2 linked regions of the Danio rerio genome follow. The protein of the gene in region 1 interacts with the protein of each later gene in a biochemical or structural test. Links are inferred from orthologs where the notes say so. Each region holds a gene or a part of one and is shown on either strand. Other genes may lie near its edges.

Region 1 (11,151 bases):
GGCTGATGTCAGATCCAGAAGAACAATCTAAGTTGCTTCTCTGCTTCCTCAACAGATTGAATAAATGGAGAGACTGACCTGTTTAGACTAGCACAGTGGTCCCCATGACGCTCAGCAATGTGGCACAGCAATGGTAGACATTCACTTAAGTGAACATATGGTGATATTAAAATAGTCACTCCTAGGTGTGTTCTTCACGCTTTGATTGCAATCACTCTATGATTCATCCACAAAATTAGAAAGGTGTGTTCCACCTGATGCATATGGGTGCTAAAATTAGAAGAGATTTCTTGTCTTCAACATGCTGCTGATTGAAAAATTTCTATAGAAGCAATTGACCAGTCACAGCAGCAAATTGGCAGTTACAATGTGTCAGGATATAGAATTCTTAAAGAATATACTTGAATAAAACAGAACACAAAATAACACAAGACTTTAAATGTATGGGCTTGAATGGCATGAAAACAACAGCATTGTTGCAATGTAACATTTGTTTCTTTATTATATTAATAAATGGTAATTATATTATAAACTTTGACTTTGTGACTACACAGTGTTTTCATATTCTTATACATTCTCATACAATAACCTGTTACATTATGTATAATCTATTTTTGAGAATAATTTATGTAACTAATTAAATCTCTAATAAATAACTAATTAAATAACTAATAAAATAATGGACACTGATGTCACCTTGATCTGTGAGATGTGTCATTCACAAGCAAACTTTTCATTCCTATCTAGATTTTGCCTTCCTCGTCCATACAGCTCTTAGTTTGTCAATTTTGGAGGCCTTATAAGGGATCTATTCAACACGCGTGGATACCACTTGATAACTGCATGGGTCTACCGATTGTTGGTGAGCTGTCCAATCTGAACTTGATGACCTCTCTCACACCGAACTGCTTTCTCATCAGCTTGGATGTGTTGTCTTAGCCAGGGGTGGAGTGGGACACAATATCACACCGGGAAATTTCATATCCACCCAGGCCATCCTTAGTTATCTCTATAAACTATCATTGGCAAATTTATAAACCGTGTGACTCTTCACAATATGCCAACCACTTCATATTGTATTGCGTCTTTGCTGAAGAAAATGGGAAGAGCTTCTTTTGGCCTTCCTTGTGGATGGTAGCAGAAAAAGGGATCTAGATCCTTAGGCTGGGGCCATGCAAAATAATTCTCTTAATGTTATCTTTTCATGTCCTCCATTTCCCTAGTGTCATTCTGCCACTTCCTTCCACCAGTATCATCATACAATTACTATCAACATGGTTGTGAAGTGCTGCAATACATGATTATTTATACATCAATACACATGAATGTAATGGCATCAGAAAGCAATGTACATGTTGTGGAAAATCAGTCAACAGTCACTACAGTTTATTGCTCACCTAACTCTGTAACTCCAATTTTTAAAATTATCTCCAGCCATAAATATAACTTGAAATGCAATTCATGTAAATTCCCAACTAGAAACTTGTGTTTAGATCAATTCTAATAACACAAAAAACACAGCATTAGAACAGAAGTAGCCTACAGCTGTTGTCAGCATCACATTCAATTGAGAATTGTGTACTAGGTTACATTTAATTTAAAAAATAAAATATCAAATTAAACAGGCAAAACAAATCTTGCAAAACTTAGAGGCATTTATTTATTTAGTCAGAGGCCTAAACAGCACCACTTGGGTGTATCTGCATAATTTTACCAAAACAATATTATTTTTTTATTCACAATTATCTAATTAATTAATATTAAATAATTATATATATATATATATATATATATATATATATATATATATATATATATATATATATATATATATATATATATATATATACATACATACACACACACACACACACACACACACACACACACACACACACACACACACACACACACACACATTTCCAACTACCAGTCAAGTTTGGAATCAGTGTTGATTAATGTTTGTAAAAAGGCAGTTCTGCATTTATTTATTTAATAATATTTTAAATATCTGTTTTCTAATTGAATGTAGTTTCAATTTTGATTAATTTCTGTGAATTAAAGCTAAATTGTTTATTATAATGAGTTGCATTTCTGTTATAATAAATTATTAATGGTGCAAAAACACTGCTGATTGTAGATCACTGTTGAATGATTCTTACAATTATTAGTGCTGAAAAGAAAACACTTTGTCTTGCTTCTTAGTATCATGGAAACAGTGGTACTATTTACTTTTAGGATTCTTTGATAACAAAGAATGTAAAAAAAAATCATCTTTTTTTTTTTATTTACTTTCACTCTTAAACGATTTATTATGGTGAATAAGGGTAAACACTTTGATTGATACTTTTATATTGTATTGTATCAGCTTCCCAAACTGACAACAACAATAAATGTTTCTTCTTGAGCAACCATGATGCTAGAATATTTCAAGGATTATATTACACTGAAGACAAATCCTGCTTAAAATTCACCTTTAAACCACAAGATTAATAACATTTTAAACTACATTAAATAAAAAAAAAGTTTATTTAATATTCTATATTTAATATTTTTATATTAAAGGAATGCAAAGCCATGAGTTTATTATAAAACAGATCTTACTGATTACAAACTTTTGACTCGAATAGGGCTCATTTCACAACAGAAATGTACACAGAAAACCTCATCTTAAGTTTGCATATCAACATAAACATTTTTTTTTTCATGATGCAGATGTACTGTCAGAAATGTTGACTATATTTGCTGAATAACATTCTCCAGCAGACGGGTAGTGCAGAAGTTGAGAGGGCTTTGCCTGAACACAATCTTCACCAGCTGTTAAGCAGTGCATGCATGTGACTCATCACTTTTGCTCTAATTCTCAGTAACATGGCCTTGTGCTACTTCTCAAATTCTCACAAACAGCCAATTGTTCCCATGCATGATGTTTGTTTGTGGGTGGGTTTGTGCGTGACAGAACAAGGGAGTATGTATAAGTTTAAGTATGTATAAGTATGTATAAATCAAAAAATTGTCATGTCAAAAATGCCTAAATGCACAAATATATTATTTTAGAACTTTTACAAATTAAATCTGAGTAAAATGTCATTAAATACAAGTAAAACAAAGGTTATGTTATTTGGGAAATTAAAAAGTAGTCATAATATAAATTTACATATTGACAATGAAAATATAAAAAGAGTATATGCAATTAAGTTTCTTGGTGTTGTATTGGAACATAAAATTAGCTGTAGCAATAGTGTATAAAGCAAAATTTATCCTGGACAATAAATCAATGTATATATTATATAACACACTTATGTAGCCATATATGAGTTATTGTGTTGAAATTTGGGGGAACACATATTATTCTAATTTACGATCCGTAAGTACAATGCAGAAAAAAAAGTAATCAGACTGATAGAAGGTGTGGGGTATTTGGAGCATACAAATATATTTTTTAAAATTAAAGATACTCAAGTTCAATGATTTGGTTAAATTTAAAACAGCACAATTTATGTTTAAAGCTAGGAATAAATTACATCCAAAATGCATACAAAAGTTTTTTGAATAAAGACAAGGGGGATATAACCTGAGAGAAGAACTAAATTTTATAGGAGGTTGAAAACAAGGACAACTTTAAAAAGTTTGTGTATGTCTGTCTGTGGTGTGAAATTATGGAACAGATCAGACTCTCAAACAATGTCAGCATGGTAATCAGTTTAAAAAGTTGTATAAATAAATATATATTATAAAAGGAATATAATGATGAAGGTGATTGAAAATGGTATGATGAAACTTTAATTAATGGCTATTTGCAGTACTATGTTTTTTTTTTGTTTTTTTTTTAGGTCTATGTTACAAAATGTAAAGGTACAAATGGATTTAAACATGTCAAAGATGCCAAAAGGATAAAATATGTCTCATGTAAAAAAAAGAGATGAGTGAAAGAAGAAATAGGTTTAAGTAATAGACGAATGAAGTATGTGGTAACGGGGTGGGAAAATAATAGGCTTGTGCTTCATCCCAGTCCATTTTCGAAAATGTTTTTTATTTTATTTTATTTTTTTATGATATTTTATGTATATTTTTGATCCAAAATAAATAAATCAAATCAAAACTTCTTTTTTCCCCCTTTTAATGTAGGAATTTCAACTGTGGTATTAAATATTAAAATGCTCATGCCTATTTACTGGAGTTGTGAAGTAAACTTTGTGCAGGATATCTTTTAGTTACATAGTTCAACTATTCTATTTCTACATGTTGTTTAATATCTATTCAACAAAACTAAGTAAAATAATTCATTTTTAATCGTTGCTTCTATGACATTTAAATTAAATTTTCTATTATTAACACTTAGCCAGTGGGGCTTTGCCAACTATTTTTTTTCTTTAATATTGTACTGCGTTGGTTTGTTATGATTATTTTATTTACTATTTCATATTTTAGTATCTATTTTGCATGCACATTAACCAATATTATTAACATGTTAACAACATCAAAACATGAATAAGTTAGAAAATTAAATACAAAAGCACACTGTTCTTCATTTTAAACAGGTGCATCTCAGAATGTGATTTTTACTTTATGTAAATGATCTACACAGCCACAGGACCCTTTATCTTTTTACTTATTTTCAACGTATTAGAGAGGCAACAAACTCACTGCTAAAATTAAAAACTATTTGCTACAATTGTTTAATACCTTGTTTCTGGATACAGGCTATAGTTTAGCTACAGTCGTGTGATGGGGAAATAGCATTACAAAACTGTAAGTCAGACGATGTTTGGGCAAAATTATGGCCATTCGCGTCCTTTCTATCGTGCAGAAAATAGATTTATGTTCATCTACAATCAAAAACAGAACAACCATTATGAAAAAAATATAAATATAGGCTACCACGAATGTATGTATATGCTTTTTTGTTATAATTTATGTGGATCAAAAATATAGTTTAACTTAAGCGCCCCACACAGCATAATGGCTAAATAATATACTTTAAAGTAGCCAAGTCAAACTTAATCTCTACAGGCCTAGCTAACATCGCGTCTTAATCAAAATCCATAAAATAACTTTACTCTTGAAAAACGAGAGATTTTTCCTGGTAACGTTAGCCTATTCCCGAAGAGTAACTTCTCCATGGCACAAAACCCAATTATGTTAGCATAATTAGCGTTGTGATATGCTTATGTACCCGAAAAAAAGAATAAAAAAACTTCTTGTGATCTAAAAGCAGGCTAATGCCAGTTACATTAGCCATAAAACATTAGCAGAACCTAATTTCTGTTTCTCTGCAGCCTCTCCTACTGTGTCGTAAACTCATGTCTTCCTGACTCAGCTGTTGTGCGCAGGCGCAGTATGACAGTACTGCACCACGGTTTTGCTGTGACGTTTATGACAGAGACAAGTCCGAACAAATATCTCGCTACGAAAAATTATTTTAAGACACAACACTTTGATAAACGAGTCAGTTTCGCTTATTTACGCATTATATTGGAACATGTTATTCATGGAGACCGATAAAAATAAATTACAGCGTTGAACTGATTGTTTTCGCAGTATCATCATCATTTGGTTTTACCTGTGAAGCGAATTAATTTCGAAAATCAATAAAGATGATGAACGTCGAGGATGAACTGACCACAGCAGCAGCCACCGGAAACATTTCCCATGTTCAGTTTTTACTTTCTAACGGAGTGAATGCCAATGTGGTTAACAAATTTAGAAGAACGCCTATACAGGTAGGTTTAGACGCGCTTTAAGAATAAACAACGGAAATAAACAAATGCAAATAAATAAATAAGATTAATTGCAGATATGTAACATTAAATTAGTAACATACAATTCAAAGACTTATTTTGTATTAAAGGTCATATTATTTAACAAATTTAGGCTATTTCATATTTTCACACCTGTTTGACTATATGGGATTTACTTTTCTTTTTTTTTTTTAAATATTAGGCTATTTGTGTATTTATTTTACTCATTTTAGCATGTTTAAGAACCTTTTAGGCTACTTAAACGGCCTGAAACATGTTTACCAATAGCGTGTTATCAACCTATATAATACTAACAACACTTTCTATCTTTTAGTAATGTCATTAATTTTAACATTATAATTTTAACTTATAGCTACATTCTTAGAAATTAGTCCGAAATAAGACAAGGAGTTTTGGATGTATTGTCAAAGTTCAAATTATTCAAAGAAAACTAAAATCTTATTGAAAACGAAAGTCCCAATGTACTATAACTGTGTATAAAAACCAAATGTTTACAATTATATATAAGAGATAGATAGATAGATTTATATACATAACAATAAATAAATAAGACATTTTATAGATCTTAATTTCAGATAAATTTTAAACTATTAAATCATATCTCTATGTGCGAGAAGAATGGCACACTACTTGCTAATTCACTCCCGAAAGCTTTGTTGGCATCGATGGTTTTAAGAAGAACCTTTTGCATCTATGGAGAAAATTTTTGAAAAATGTGCCTTTAAACTATTAAAATGTTTATTTCATTTTTTGACAATAAAAATACTTCTTTTGGAAGCTTTGTAATAGGTTTTCTGTGCGGAACCAGAAGGGCATCACTGCGAAAACCCTTTTCCTCTTATTGCCATGCTTGTTTTTACGAATGTACGTTTAATATTTTGACATTTGTACAGTTGGCCTATATTGACCAAAATAATCAGCCACCACTAGCACAGTCATAGACTAATGGAGTATATATTTTAGACCATACTTATTTTTGCTTGTTTTTATAATCGTGTAGGCCTATTATTATAATATTTGGTGTGAAAGTTTTCATCTAATTTTCACAATGTCCAATGGTTTTACGGTTCATGCTCTCGGTTACGGGACATCAAAAGCCGAAGAGGTAGCCTACAATAAAGTGCGTATAGATATCTTTTAGCACACTTTAAACAGATGGACAGCATACATCCAGAAATCGTAAAAGATTAGGCAATTGTAAAACTTCTGACGAGCATGAATTGCCTCAGAAAAATGTCAATTAAACGAAAGATGTTTAAGAAAATCACAAATGTGAACAAAGCATATTTATGGCATACATTTTATTTAAAATGATTATAGGAATCTTCATAATTAATCATATGAAAAATAAGAATTAGCTACAACACAATTTGTTGCATTTAATTGATTTACTGCCCGTGAATAATTTATTGATAGGCTAAAAGAGTAATGCATCATGCACAGCAATGTTCAGTGCCAGCATGTGCACTGCTTTCGTTCCTATTTAACCAAAAAGTATCTACTTTCCAGATTTCGAGTGATGGCAGTAAAATTATTGATTAAACAAACTTCTTTACAGTGACATCATGACGTTACTGGCGTTTATTTTTTCATGAGACAGCAATTTTCCCCCTCTCCAGGTGATGATGATGGGTAACGCACCTTTGGCTCTTGTGCTGCTGGAACAGGGAGCGGACCCTAATGTGCCTGACCCCGACACAGGGAGCACACCTCTGCACGACGCTGCCAGAACCGGATTCATTGACACCGTGCGGCTTTTAATCCGCTTCGGCGCCGACCCCAATACAAAAGATCACTGCGATTTACGACCAGTGGATGTGGCACAACAGACTGGCAACGTAGACGTGGTTGAATTACTCAATCGTGTTTAAAATGTTTAAAGACTGCATCACTGCATAGCCTAGGCTACTTTAGGTGGTAACCTTATTAATGCACTCAAGTACTTATAATTCTCAATAGCACATGGTCATTCATGTAGTTTGGAGATTCTAATCATTTAAAATTTTATTTCTGTATCTTTTAAGTTTATTTATTATTATTATTTATTATTAGCTAGTCAATGGGAACTTCAATAAAAGGCTACAGACACAAACCATCATACGCTCATGCTAGCCTATAGTTCGCATAATAAAAAGTGTAGACAGCATTATGTCCAAAGATAAATAAATAATTAAATAACATATCCACCTATTTGTTTTTAACCTGAAAAGCATGGCGACAAACATTGAATCAAATGGCTTGCAACGCAAGGACATCCAATATTTTTGGCGAGCTCTTTCTTTTTTCATTTCTTCCGGTTAAACATGCTTTTATTAAGTTTATAATATTGTACGACTAATAAAAATGAAACTTTCTATTTATACCAAGGCATAATTTAAATAATTTTGCTTAACGTGGTTAGCTGTTTGTTAGCTCTGTGTGGTTAAACTGTGTGGGTTAACTGACAAAAGAAACATTTAGTTTGTGCGGGATGTTTGTTAGCCTTTATTCTTAACTGTACTGTAGTGTTGAATTGATAATTGTTTCTTTTTTTCTGGCTACTCAAATACCCGGTGCAAACTAAACCCGTATGTTAATTAAGAGTTTAACCTTAAAAAACTATATATAGCCTAATAGAAAACGAGGCGCTTCATTTTACATGCATAACTCGTTTAACTAAGTGCAGGAAAGTGTATTAAAATCTCTATTTTTTTAGAAAGGCAGAGAGAGGAAAAAAACAGACAGAAAAGTTAAATAAGGCGTCGATGTAAAAGAAAACGGTGTAGATGCAAAGGAAACGAAGCAGGTAACGCTTGTCCAAAAAAAATCACTCCTGCATTTTTGTCCCCCTCACATTTGTATCCAAGTTTGTTACAAATACGCACTTTGTTCTTCATTCTAGAAAAACAAACGTGTTGCTGACTAAGTTACATATTTGCTAATTCAAATATAGTACAATGAATAATATCCACACAAACTGCATAGGGAAAACAGCATTCGTTTATTTGTAGGTATGACAGCCATTTATTAACCAAAATACTTGTATTTATATTTAAGCTATTTATGTCATGCTTATATTTGTGTGATATTGCTACTGCTAATGTAAAAGGCACTAAAACAATTGTAATTATCCCAAGATCCCGTCTTTTCCCTCTACCAGTGCTTTCATGCATATGTCTAAATCTGTTTATTTGTTTGTTTATTATAACTGCACAGCCATTTCAGTGTGGTTAACATACAAATCCCCCTTTTTTTTTTTTTTTGGTTGATGGTGGTAAGAATATTACACTTGTTTAAAGATAAACAACTGCAGTCATAGACACTACATTTTCATGACTTCTCGATGGCAGGATTTGTTAATGTTTGGGCAACATTACTGAGGACTGAGACATCGACTGAAAAACAACCAAGAGAAAAAACAAAATCAGATGTGATGGAAAATGTTCAACTCATATATTATGTTAAGAAAAAAAGCTGCTTTATAATTGCAGTATTTTAATAAAAACTCAACTCACTTTATGTGCATTTATTGTGCTGTCCCAGTCCATCTGGCAGATTTGCGGGATTGCTGTGAGCAGGATGCTGCTAGCCTTATTTGCGTTCTCTTTCATGGTTTTCAAAACATTGTCCACACACACCTAGAATAAAAAAAACAGCTTGGTATTTGCAAGAAAATTATGATACAAAGCAAAAGCGTGTCAATTAAAGCACCAAAAATCTATTAAACATTATTGTTTGTGTATGTTTGTGTATATTTAAGTTTTCTAAAAAAAATGGTAGCTTTATAAAGACATTTAAATAAGGTTTTTATTCATAAACATTGTTCAGACAGCATTTACAGCATTTCAATTAAGCTTAAGTATATCACATCAGCACAATGAGGATTGTTCTCACACATCTATGTATAAACTAGTTAAGCTGTCCAATGTTTATATCAGAATAAAATAAACTAAAAACATCTAAAAATCTTATAAAGTTATCATGTCTCTCACTAGATTTGCATTAAACTGCTCGATTTATGTGGATTAAAAGAAATCTTCATAAAAAACTAAACAAAATCCACATAAAAGAATTTAGATTAGATCTCTTAAGAGTCTCAGGTTTGTTTGCAGTTGCTCTGATAAGGTTGCTGAACTGGACTACATTTTATGCTCAAGTAACAGATAGACTATTGTCTCTAAACTATGAGCCATTTGGTTGTATAATGTCAGGATCTACATTTAACCTACTGCACCGACAGGAAATGTGAACTACACACTTTTTACTTTTTTTTTTATCAACAGTGGTTTCCTCTGGAGGAACTGACTAATTGGCTGCCAACAAACTGTGTATGATTGTCTGTGTATGAATCAGACAGAGATACTGAGAACACCATACAGGGACGGAAGGATGTGATGAAGCAGGGAGTGAAAACTAGAGGTCAGCAGCAGGAACTCGGAAGGCGGACTGAGAAATGCAAGGGGAAGTAAACACCAACACCAACTACCAGTCTTACCGGTCATCCGGCTATCGGAAACAATAATCTGCAGAGAGTTTATTGACTTAAAAATAAATATCCTATAAAAATTCTTCTGAACTAAGATACAAATAACTTGGACGCAGCAACAACACTTTTGCCTATTATAAGGTTCATTCTTTAAAATAGCATTTAAAAAAAATAATAAAAAAAAAAATATATATATATATATATATATAAAAACACATTGTCAAATCTCTTGTTTACAATAAACTATAAAAAAGCACCTAATAACATGAAGCTCTCAATTTAGACTTAAGCACCAAAATAATAATAAAGGCTAAAGCTTAATGGTTTGTATTTGCCACAAACATAAGGACCATTAGAAGAGATGGTCTTGAATGGAACCAAGGCTTTAAATATACATTGACCAGCCACTTTCTTAGGTACACCTTTCCAATGCACATTTCTAATCAGCCAGTTACATGGCAGTAGCTAAATGCATTTAGGCATGTAAACATGTAATGGTGTGGGGGATATTTTCTTGGCACAATTTGGGCCCATTATTACCAACTGTACATCATGTCAACGCCACAGCCTACCTGAGTATTGTTGCTGACGATGTCCATCTCTTTATGACCACAGTGTACCCATCTTCTAATGGCTACTTCCAGCAGGATAACGCGCCATGTTATAAAGTGTGAATCATACTAGACCAGTTTCTTGAACATGACAATGAGTTCACTGTACTCAAATGGCCACCACAATCACAAAATCTCAATCAAATAAAACACCTCTGGGATTTAGTGGAACGGGAGACTCGCATCATGGATTTGCAGCTGACAAATCCACAAAGGATTAAGGCAGTTCTAAAGGCAAAAGGGGGTCCAACTCGGTACTAGTAAGGAGTGCCTAATGAAGTGGCCAGTGAGTGTATATAAACTTGGTTTAAAA
Region 2 (10,545 bases), on another chromosome or scaffold:
AAAAGATTTACTGATTCCCCCAAAAACACAACCTCACCTATTGAAAATGCACCCGTGTCAACATGTAACAGCACATTTATTGAACAGTCCTATATTAAAATGTATTATTAAACAAACTATCCAGGATTACATTAAACAAGTAGCACAGTTCATCAAAACCAAACAGCTTGAAGCGCCCAACTGATATACAGCATACACCACCGGGCCAACAGGATATAAAAAACAATGCAAAATGAAAGACAAACTTTAAAAGACCTCTGACTGCGCTTTCCCTGTAAAGCCAGATGAACCAATCATACCTTCAACAGCTCCAGTCTGGTGGTCAAACCCCAACACTGAGGGTCTATTCTGGGCAAAGCACTGCCCCCTGCCCTTTGGCAGAATGCCCTCCCGTGACTGTTCATATCGGAGTCTGTCCTTCCATAATCATTCCAGCCTGACCTATGTCTACCCAGGATGACCTCTCTTGCTTAACATAAACACCTCCAACAAGGCCTCACAGAACACTTCATAGCAACCCTTTGAGTGTATAACAAGACTGACATCTAACCAAAACCACTCATATGATCTTGAACAGTTAACCAATAAGCTTAGATATCCATGCATGCCAGTGTTCTAACCCACCTCCATGAATTCTGATAGCCCAAACCACTGCTAGGCTTATCTGCACAGCAAAGTAAAGTACACCAAAAAGGCCTTCCTACCTCAACATACATCCAGCCGCGACTCTTGTCCATAGAGTACTGTAAGGCAGCAGAAGGCTGGTATTTTTAGCCCTGGACACTGGCACTGAACTGGACTGAAACCTGAGCCAGCTCCCCCTGCCATGACCAGAGCCAAAACCCCATCCACTATTACTGGGGCTGGAAATGATCATCAGTATTGGTGTGATCATTGAAGTGAAGACACCAATTCTACTTAGAGCAAAAATACCATGTCTGCGATGAGCATGCAAATGTCAACCTTCCCATGAAAAAAATTAAGTTTACCAAAATATGGAAACCCTGCTTAGACATGTGTTTTACAGTACTGGAAAAATACTCAAATGTTTATTGTAAATGACATATAATTATTTGTAAACATTGATACAGTCACACAAGTGGCAATTTCACGTCTCATCTATAAAGATGAGGTGTCACATACAAAGGTTTTCCTCATAAATTTCTACAAGATATGTTGTATACTCTACACTACCTGACTAAAGTCTTGTCGCCTATTCATGTTTTAGGAACAACAAATAATGACTTGACTTCTAGTTCATCATTTGCTATCAGAAGTGGCTTATATGAAAGGCAAAGGCCTCTAGATTTTGCGTATTTCACCAAAATAAAATATGATCCTGCCTTGATTTTTAATTATTTGATTAGGACAGTAAGGTCTGACTTGGCTTAGATAAAGAGTCTTGTCATTTAATAGAAATAAAGTACATTATAGAACATAAAGTAATGGTGCAGCCAGAAAAGAATTAATATTGTGTATGACCTTCTTTGGTTTCAGGAACTTTGATGAGGAGGCAAGTTAAATTTAAGACTTAAAGAATTTAAATTTAAGAATAAAATTTTAGACTCATAAAGGGCTAAATGCTAAGGGATTTTTCAAATAGTCCAAATGGAAAAGATTTTTATTTGCCATATCATTTTTTTAAATAAATTAAAATTACTTAATAATACAAGAACAATAAAAAAATAATTATTATTTTAGATTTTATGTCTTAGCAAAATATTTTAACTACTGTGTAAAAACAGGCAAGCTCTGCTTGTATTTCTACACTTAAATGAATACAAAAAAAAATGAACAAATGTTTTAAAAGTTTTAAAAACTATAATAAACTGGAGCACTTTCAAACAAATGTTATTGTTAGGAAAATAACTAAACCACTGTGATAAATAGAGTTAAAAATGACCTTTTTAAATAAAAAAGGTTAACGTTTTATTGAGATGGATTGTTGGTGATTGGATATGGATTGGATATGGGTTTAGACCAGATTGGGCAGCAATGCATGAACAGGAAAATTAAGACCTGTTTAAAAAAAAGATTTAGGACCTACAACACATTATTTCAGTAAATTTAAGACCTTTTAAGGCCTAAAATTTGAATTTTGAAATGTAAGACCTTGTAAGACCCTGCAGAAACCCTGCATAACTCTTGAGTTAAGTTGTTTCGGAAAATATAAACAGATGTTTCAATATAATGTTAACATATATACTTTCTCTGTGAATTTATGTTTTAAGCTTTTACTGCAAATGTTACATTCATAGCGCTGGAATTGCTCCAATGCAGAGATAACAATAACTGAATATTTACAGTCTATCCTTTCAAAAGGCTGTCCGTGATTTTAAAAGATTACACAAGAGTTTGATCTGTCTCAGGGGTCGACTTCTTGTACATCCGGGACCAGCATTATTTTGAGAATTCTCTCACAAACTGTAGGTGTTTGGGGGATTTCATATCTCTCAATTTCTGCTTTGAAAATACAGACACTGCAATCGATCAAAAACAATAAAACACTGATGATCATATTCATCATATTAAGATATGTATATCCCCAAGCATGAAAAGATTTCTCTGTGGATGGAGTTCATGAGTGCTAAGTTTATGAGTCTTAACATGATCAAAAGATTGGCAAGGGCATGATATGAAGAATATTACACGTTCTGAGTTAAAAGTCGATCAATGGCAACACTGTCATCCACAAAAGAGCAGCCATATAGATCAGTTCTGTTAAGCTCGAGTGTCAGATGCCTCACTTGCAGCAGGTGTCTGTACACTAAGGTTTACTTCTAGCACCATTGCAGCTGGTGTTGTACATGTGCACTCACTAGCCGCGTTTCCACTATCGCGCCTAAAGCGAGCGAGCCAGGGCGAGCCAAGGCCAGTGGCGTTTCCACTGTCACTTCCGGGGCCTAATCGGGCCTAAGCGGGGCTTTCTTGGGGCCAGCGGCCGGCCTTTTTCGGCCCGCCGAATACCTTGGGCCAAGGAGGGCCAGCTGGGGCTTTGGGGCGGAGTGAAAGGAGAGGCGGGCAGTTTTCTGATCGCACATGAGTACATGCGCCAAACAAATAAAGAAATAAGGGAAAGAAAACATCTAGCCTTATAGTCTGGGGTCTTTTTGCGTATGATCACCCTTATGTTTCCCTTTTAAATGTAAGGCTGCTGCATAAAATAATAAAGTAGTTTTAATTTATAGTGACGTTCTTTGCTGCGTCCTCCTTTATGTTTCAATAACGCATAATAATCTTTACACCATATTAAAAACACATCAGACAGTAAACGTTTTCGAGAGTTTTTGTCAAGTTTAAAATGTTTGTTTGTTTGTGCACGTTTAGATGCCTGTATGTGTGTGTGAGACCGGGCAAAAGCGCTCCTTCACAGCTCTGTTATGCCGCGAGCGGCTTTTTTCTTTATTTATTTTGGAGATAATACACATATAAATACAACAGAAAGACATAAACTTAACAAAATACGTGCCCACTTTCGTAGACTTTAAACAATATATTGTCATATCTTGATAAAATAGCCTAAGGTAGCCTATATTGAAATATAATTTAAAGAATTACAAATATCGGATATATATATAATCACATTAAATAAATTAACCAATATAAAATAAACAAAAGCTAACTATAACAATGTAGGTAGCCTATATACAATACATAAATCAAACCGTTTTAAAGCCACATATAGCCTAACTTTCATTTTGCAAAGACCTGTCTGGAAAAAAAAAAAAAAGATTTTCGATATTTTTTAAAAACAATAAACACCGGAGAAGGTTTGAAATATTTATATAAAGTAAATATTTATGTAAGTAAATATTTATAAAGTATTTGGATACGATGATATTAATCAAATCGCGCAAACAGAGCATTATTTGAGTGAGTGAAAGCAGAATCTCCTATACCTTTTTTTCTGTCACTCAGTCCTGCGCAGCACTCGCTGCTTTAAACGCATATGGGGGAAGTCCAAACACAAAATGTGTTCCATATCCTCAAACAACTGTTTATGTTTTTATTTGACGTGGTTAAATTTATAAATGAAACTTTAAATGATGAGTTTTAGTGAATAGCTGCCGAGCGCAACAAATATGGCTATATTTTATTAGGCTACTCGCTCTTGTGCTGAAAACTTAACACGACTTCTATCAAAACGAGGATGTTAAAAAATACATGCCATATCGAGTTATAAAGGAGAATTTCTGTGGCTTTATATTATGGATGTGTGCGCTCTCTGTGTTGGGTCCCTGCGTTAGTGGCGAGAGCAGTCCATGCACAATGCAGTCGGTCGGCGAGTAAACAAATGTAATGAATGGAAATACACAGGTCTGTGCGTATAGATATATAATGTACTGCTGTACAGTAACGTGTCGTTTGTTTGTTTCGGTTGTCTTCATTTTAATGGTTTCGTTTCGTGATGATTTATGGTGTGCTTTATCTGCCTCATTCCCGCTGAAGTGGGCGGGTTGTGTGACGTTTGATTCGGGGACGTTCTGTGGGCGGTGTTTGCGTGACGCGCTGTGAGCTTTAGCCCGACAGTGGAAACGCGACATGATTTCAGCCTCATTTCTCAACCTCCCGGGCTATTGGCCCGCCCCGGCCCGATTAAAGCCCTGGCTCGCACTGGCCCGATAGTGGAAATGCGGCTACTGAATCTGAAGCCCAGACACTGAATAGTTCAAGTGTGTGCAGCCATTGTGATTCGATCAGTGTAGATGAAATTATTGGCCCTTTGGTAGATTGTACAAATGCAACAATAACAGTATTTCTTCTGATAGGTGTCTACTATGTAAAGATATGTATGCATGCTGCTGTTATGCGTGTTAAGAGAGTTTAAAAAGAGTTTATTTACAAGACTGGCAATTTAGCTGGTTAGAAGGAACAAATTAATGCAACAGACAAGGAAAAATTGCAATACTACTTTAGGACTAGTAGTCTAAGAAATAAAGCTGCCATTTGCTCTACTTAATGTGTAGTACATTAAATGACTAAAATGTTACCTATTTTTAAAAATGATTGTGGAAATGCTGTTTTTGATTCATATTTAGAATTAAAACACTAATGCCGAGTTCAGACTGCATGATTTTCAAAGTAGTCGTGTCACAGATGTTTTTACACTGCATGACTATCTGGGCTAGCGTTTCGTCGCTGCTTTGTTTACACTGCAAGATGGATTGGGGACTTTCAGATTACATGACTTTACTATAGGAAGAATCGCCGACAACTTCGTCCAAACTACGTCTCACAGCAAAAAACACGTAGTATATCTTTTGTTATTAACTACATAATGAGAAAGAAGCCTTTAATGGGGTAGAACATGTACATGTTTGCTCACCTGGGTTTAAAGGGAATTAGCCATTTGTCCTCAACGTTGATAATAAACTAATTTCTTTCTGTATAAAACGTCAAACAGACACGGTTGCCCCTGAGTCCTGTCAAACGTCCACTAGTTTTTCCTCCATTTCGTGGGTCCAAATAAACCGAAAAAGAGCGCTTTTACCTTCTCCCCCAGCCTCCCGCTGGCCTGCAGCAGGTATACACACACGCACACACAAGTGAAAGCTGCTCTCTCATTGGCTGTAGGCGATGGCTGATGTTATTTTCAGTCAAAACTCATTTCACACGGCATGATTTGAATCGCCGACAGCTCCAGATATTTAGCACGCCAAATATCTCACAGGCATCGGCGACTCATCGGCGATTCTCTCAGATCGCGTCTTTGATAGTTCATACTTTGTGATTGTCACTCACGTGCACGAGCAGCGATTTGCCTGTGAATTCAGGCATTTGTCGGCGATTTCTCAAAACCTGTCGGCGAGCCAAAATCGCGGCTAAAATCACGCAGTCTGAACTAGGCATTAATTAACATCATTTAACAGTTAAAGAGGTCTAGTGGTTTTAGCTACGGATCTGAAGCATGCCATAGTGTGTAACTGCTTCTAATGTTTTGGTCTAGTCTCTTATTTTGAGAGCTTCTAAACACAGGTAGGCGGGTTTTTTAAACCTGACGCACTGCTTTAAAAATACAGAAAGAAATGACAGGGAATTCTCTGAACAGCAGTGTGGGCACTCACTTGCTAGTTTGGCCTGCAGTCCGGAGGGCCCAGGCTTGGAGGACGTCTCAGCCTTGGCCGATCCCGGCAGGGACAGTTTGGGCTTTGGCAGGTTGACTTTGGAGTTGAAGCGAGATGCCCAGTCAAACTTGGAGGAGCCGGCAGCTTTGCTCTGCTCTTTATCCCGGCTACTCCTGCGGGGGGAAGGGGAGGACGCAGACCGTGATCGCCGAGCTTTGCTCTGGTCCTTGCCCTGCTTTAGCCGGGCGCCCTGAGGGGCACAGCTATTGGTGCCTGTGGCGGCCGAAGAGGAAGAAGAAGAGGAGGAGGAGGAAGAGGCAGAGGAAGAGGAGGAGTCAGTTACGGTGCTACACCCAGCTTTGGCTGAGGCGGCCGATTTGGACGCCAGCTTGGTGGGTTTGGCTGCCCGGCTGGCCTCGCTGCGGGGTGGCAGGGGGCCTGCCGCGCTGCTCGAGCTGGGGAGGGAGGAGGAAGAAGAGGACGACAACAAAGTGGCGTCTGCCTTCTTGCGCTTTTGAGAAGGGGTGCTGGAGGCCCCACTGGGGCCAGGGTAGGATGAGCTCTTCTTGCTCAGGGCTCTGGCAGGAGCCGGTTCGGCTGCTAACCGTCTCTTTTTGGACTTGGTGCTGACAGATGCTGGAGCCTTCCTTGGCTCTGTAACTTCAGGTGATATTGCGGGGGCCGAGGGCCCACTGGCTGAACTGTCAGAGAAGTGGCTGGACACCACTTTGGGTCGCTTGGCTGGACTAGGTGAAAAAGTGATATTGGGCTCTGAAACGGAGCTGCGTTTGAGTGCGCGGGTGCTGCTGCCCTCCCGTCTCCCCTGTTGGCCTGAAGTCCCTGCTGCTTCCAAGTCTGGATCTGGAATTGAGAGTGAACCCACGGATAGAGAGAGGCTGTTCCTATAAAAACAAACAGAAGAGGAAAGAACTTGAGAACCCAAGAAACCGTAGTCTCGCATGGTGAACTTGTGTCACACAAAAGACCCACACAGGAGTAAAAAGGGATACCTTCGAGAGGTGTGGCCGCGGGCGTAGCCGACGGCAGAGCTGGGCGGGGCTTTGGAAGCCTTAGAATTAGATCTTCTATTTTCAGGTGGGGAATTTGCTTTTTGGTTTACTTGCTCTGGCTGCAACCTGGAGAGGTTGGGAATTAAACAGCAGAGAGCAGTGTGGGATGGGCAGCAGATGAGGAACACCTCAAATTAGATTTCACGAGATGACAACTACTGCAGTCCTACTCTCAGCACTTCCTACACAGCAATCAGCCCAACGGCACAGACAAACTGCAATCATTATGACTATCTAGCTAGACATTTCTCATAAGTTGAGAGCATCACTCTTAGATGGGCAACTAAGCAACTAGCCACTTGTCTGGAGAAGTTTTTTGAAAAGAACACAGGCAAATAATAAACCCAAGTGTCCATGTAACACGTCTAACAGAGAAACAATCTCAGTCTTTCCAGCACTGCTATTCAGCTACTGATTGTATAGCATCATTACTAACGAAAGTATATTTTATTTAAGTGAAAGTCTGCTGCTTGAATCAAATGTGAATGTAGACAGACTTGGCAAACCTTTTAGAATACAGACAGACATTTAAAGTCTGTTTAATGCAATAAAATTATTAAGGCCCCGATATACTCTGTGACAATCTTTCAGATTCTTCATTTAAGAGTATAAAGTAGCTTAAAACACCTCTGCAGCAAAGACTGTAGGACCCTGATAAAACAAAAAGCCAAATACTTGAAATCAAGATTCTTAAATTGTTAAACTGATTTGAGTTATAAGGTTTTCTCCATGACATGATGGCTTTTTTAATCCCAGATTTTTTTCTCAAAAAAATCTATTAACAGTTTAAAGTAATAAATAGAGCTCAACATTTCCTCCCTGCTCCTTGCCCTGTTTTTGTCTTCAAATAGTGACACATCAGAGGCAAAGAATTCAACAAGCGCTTGAGCTTCAGCATCCTAGAATGAACTGGACCTCCACATACACACTCAGATCCATGATCATCATGTAATGATCATAAACCAATGGTAGTTTTAACAGAACTTTTTGAAATGTTTTGAACTTTTAAAACAAACTCAAAATGACGTTTGATGTGGTGTCGTTTTACACAAAATTAGATTAACAGTTTTCATAAAGTAAAAAAAGTTAAATATATAAACCAAAAAATATTTATTTTAAATTGTAACAATATTACACAGCACTTGTAAATTAAACAGTTCCATGACTAAAATTTCCAAATTAAGAGTCCAATTAGTCCAACGATACAAAAATCCCACCACAAATTAGTTTAAATTAATCATATTAGAAACTACACATTAAAATTAATAAGAAAAATATGCACTCAGAAAAAAACTAGGAAACCAAAACATTAATGAAGCTAATGAGGAACAATTATAAACACACTTCTTAACGCTTTACTTATTGTTAAGCATCAATATGGCTGTTGCCTTGGACTAAAAATGAAACATAGTGATGCATCACAAAGAGAGAAAAGACTGTAGTTATAGATGCCATTTTATTCAGCAACTGCTGCACAAACGGAACTGTCTTCTTTGGTTAACTCACCTTCCTGCAAGTGTGTGGTCTATTGGCTGGGCCGCGGCTGTGTTCCTCTGTGAACGGCGCAGTGACCCCCCTGGATTGGAATTAGGCCGGTTGGACATTGGCACCTCTCTCCTGAAGGGACATACCCTTTCTAGACACTACCATTCACTGGTAGCAAGAAAAAAAAAAGAGAGAGAAAAAAAAGGAAGGTAAGTACACTTATAGTAGCCTCATATCATTACAAACCCCTGATACTTTCGTTTATCTTCAGAACATATTTTGGATGAAATCTGGATGTTCCCTCATCCTCTATAGAAAGTAAGGGTTTTATATTGTTAAAAGTATAGAAAAGTACCAAAAACAGACCTTATGCCTTCAGCGATTCAATCGCAATATTACAACTTCTTCTGATTTAAAATATTATTTCTTCTCCTCGACATCATTATAGTTTGAGCATTCATTATTTCTTCTCCTCGGCGTCATTATAGTTTGAGCATTCATGAGCATTGTGCGGTGATGACCACCCTGGGTGAACAATAAGACACCATAAGCGAAAAGGTGCACTTTAATTTTGATGCCCACATACATCTTCACTAAACATAAATCAGAGGTAAGACTTTCTCATTCAGAGCCTCATTTCAGTTGTCAAGTTTTGTAAAAATCTATCTATTGAATCTATTTTTAAAAAAAAGCAGTGTCATTGTAGAAATGAACAAAACAATAGGCCTAATACAAAATATGACAACACTTATATATAAAAAAAAATTATCATATAGTAACTTTTGGTCAGTTTTTTAATGGATAATAGCACTCTGTAATTTCATGCTTTCACTTTCATAAAATGCACATTAATTAGTAGGAATTACATGCTGGCCTGCTCATAATACTCTTTTCATAAAGCCATATATTTGGCTATTACTAAGGTTGTCACTATATTGAAATTCAATACCAATCAGTGCTGAGATTTTAAAAACATCCATTTCCCGTGAACATTAAAGTGATGTGGAGCACGTTCTTAAACCGCGCTGCTGAAGAGTGGAAAGTACACGTTTGCAAACCCTACCTAAAGTTACAAAGAATGGCGCCGACGACAGCGATCATGTGGTGAATGCTGATCCGCTGGCCGAGATCAATTGAGTGTTTTCAGAAAACGTTCCCGAATTTCGATGCGTTGCATTCACTGCGTGTTCAGCGCAAATGTCCGCTAAATGTAAAATCTAAAGGCTGATTTATACTTCTGCATCAAGCGCATGCGTATGCTTCGTCGCAGCCTACGCGTAAACGCATAGCCCCTCGCCGTGGCCGTTGGAGTCGCTGATGCACACCTCTCAAAAAATATAACGCGTACGCGTAGTGCAAGCTCTGTGATTGGTTGGCATGGTAGCGTTGACGAGTGTGGGCAGAGGTGAGAGCCGCACGAGCATGATGCAGTGGGTGTTTACAAGTATGAAGTCCCGTGAAGAAGCTCAGGATAGTGACTGCTATTTTTTGTTTACCCTATGATTAAAGTTGTTGCACATCCGCCTGTTTCTGCTTTAAAATGAACGAGTTTGAGCCACTTGTACATAAGCATTCAGAAAAAAACAAAACACCAGAGAAGGAACCCGACACAGAGAAACATGAACACCTACTCTGCCAGCTAGTGTTTCGGAAGTGTATTGCAGAGCAACAGAACAGCGCGCAGAAGTATAAATGCACGGCTACGCGCAAGGCTTGCGCCGTGGGTCACACAGACCGGTATTGACAGTGGTTATCGTGGGAATCCTGCTCTGCCTCTCTCACATATTTGGTCATCTGACTTGCCTGCTTTTTTCCACAAACACAGAAAAATGTAAATCAGCTCATAAGACTGAGCATTTAAAATGATACAAACCGAAACCAAAACTTTTAAAGAGTGGTAAAAGTAAGACTTTTCTTTCTCACTT

What was found.
Region 2: the proteins of cdkn2a/b (region 1) and trip12 form a complex in vitro, tested with the Homo sapiens proteins (2 studies listed by BioGRID). The link is inferred for Danio rerio from reciprocal best matches to the Homo sapiens genes CDKN2A and TRIP12.

Annotation. Positions count from the first base shown.
Region 1 is NC_133176.1:27,773,099-27,784,249, reverse strand, and holds cdkn2a/b (cyclin-dependent kinase inhibitor 2A), read left to right. Parts: upstream 1-5,335; 5' UTR 5,336-5,597; coding exon 5,598-5,723; intron 5,724-7,381; coding exon 7,382-7,633; 3' UTR 7,634-8,895; downstream 8,896-11,151. Other genes in the region: mtap (S-methyl-5'-thioadenosine phosphorylase), read right to left, coding at 9,098-9,136, 9,257-9,379. UniProt on the Homo sapiens protein: Acts as a negative regulator of the proliferation of normal cells by interacting strongly with CDK4 and CDK6. This inhibits their ability to interact with cyclins D and to phosphorylate the retinoblastoma protein.
Region 2 is NC_133193.1:44,171,796-44,182,340, reverse strand, and holds part of trip12 (E3 ubiquitin-protein ligase TRIP12), read right to left. Parts: intron 8,789-10,545; 5' UTR 8,740-8,788; coding exon 8,642-8,739; intron 7,202-8,641; coding exon 7,076-7,201; intron 6,968-7,075; coding exon 6,066-6,967; intron 746-6,065; exon of another isoform or gene 705-745; intron 1-704. UniProt on the Homo sapiens protein: E3 ubiquitin-protein ligase involved in ubiquitin fusion degradation (UFD) pathway and regulation of DNA repair.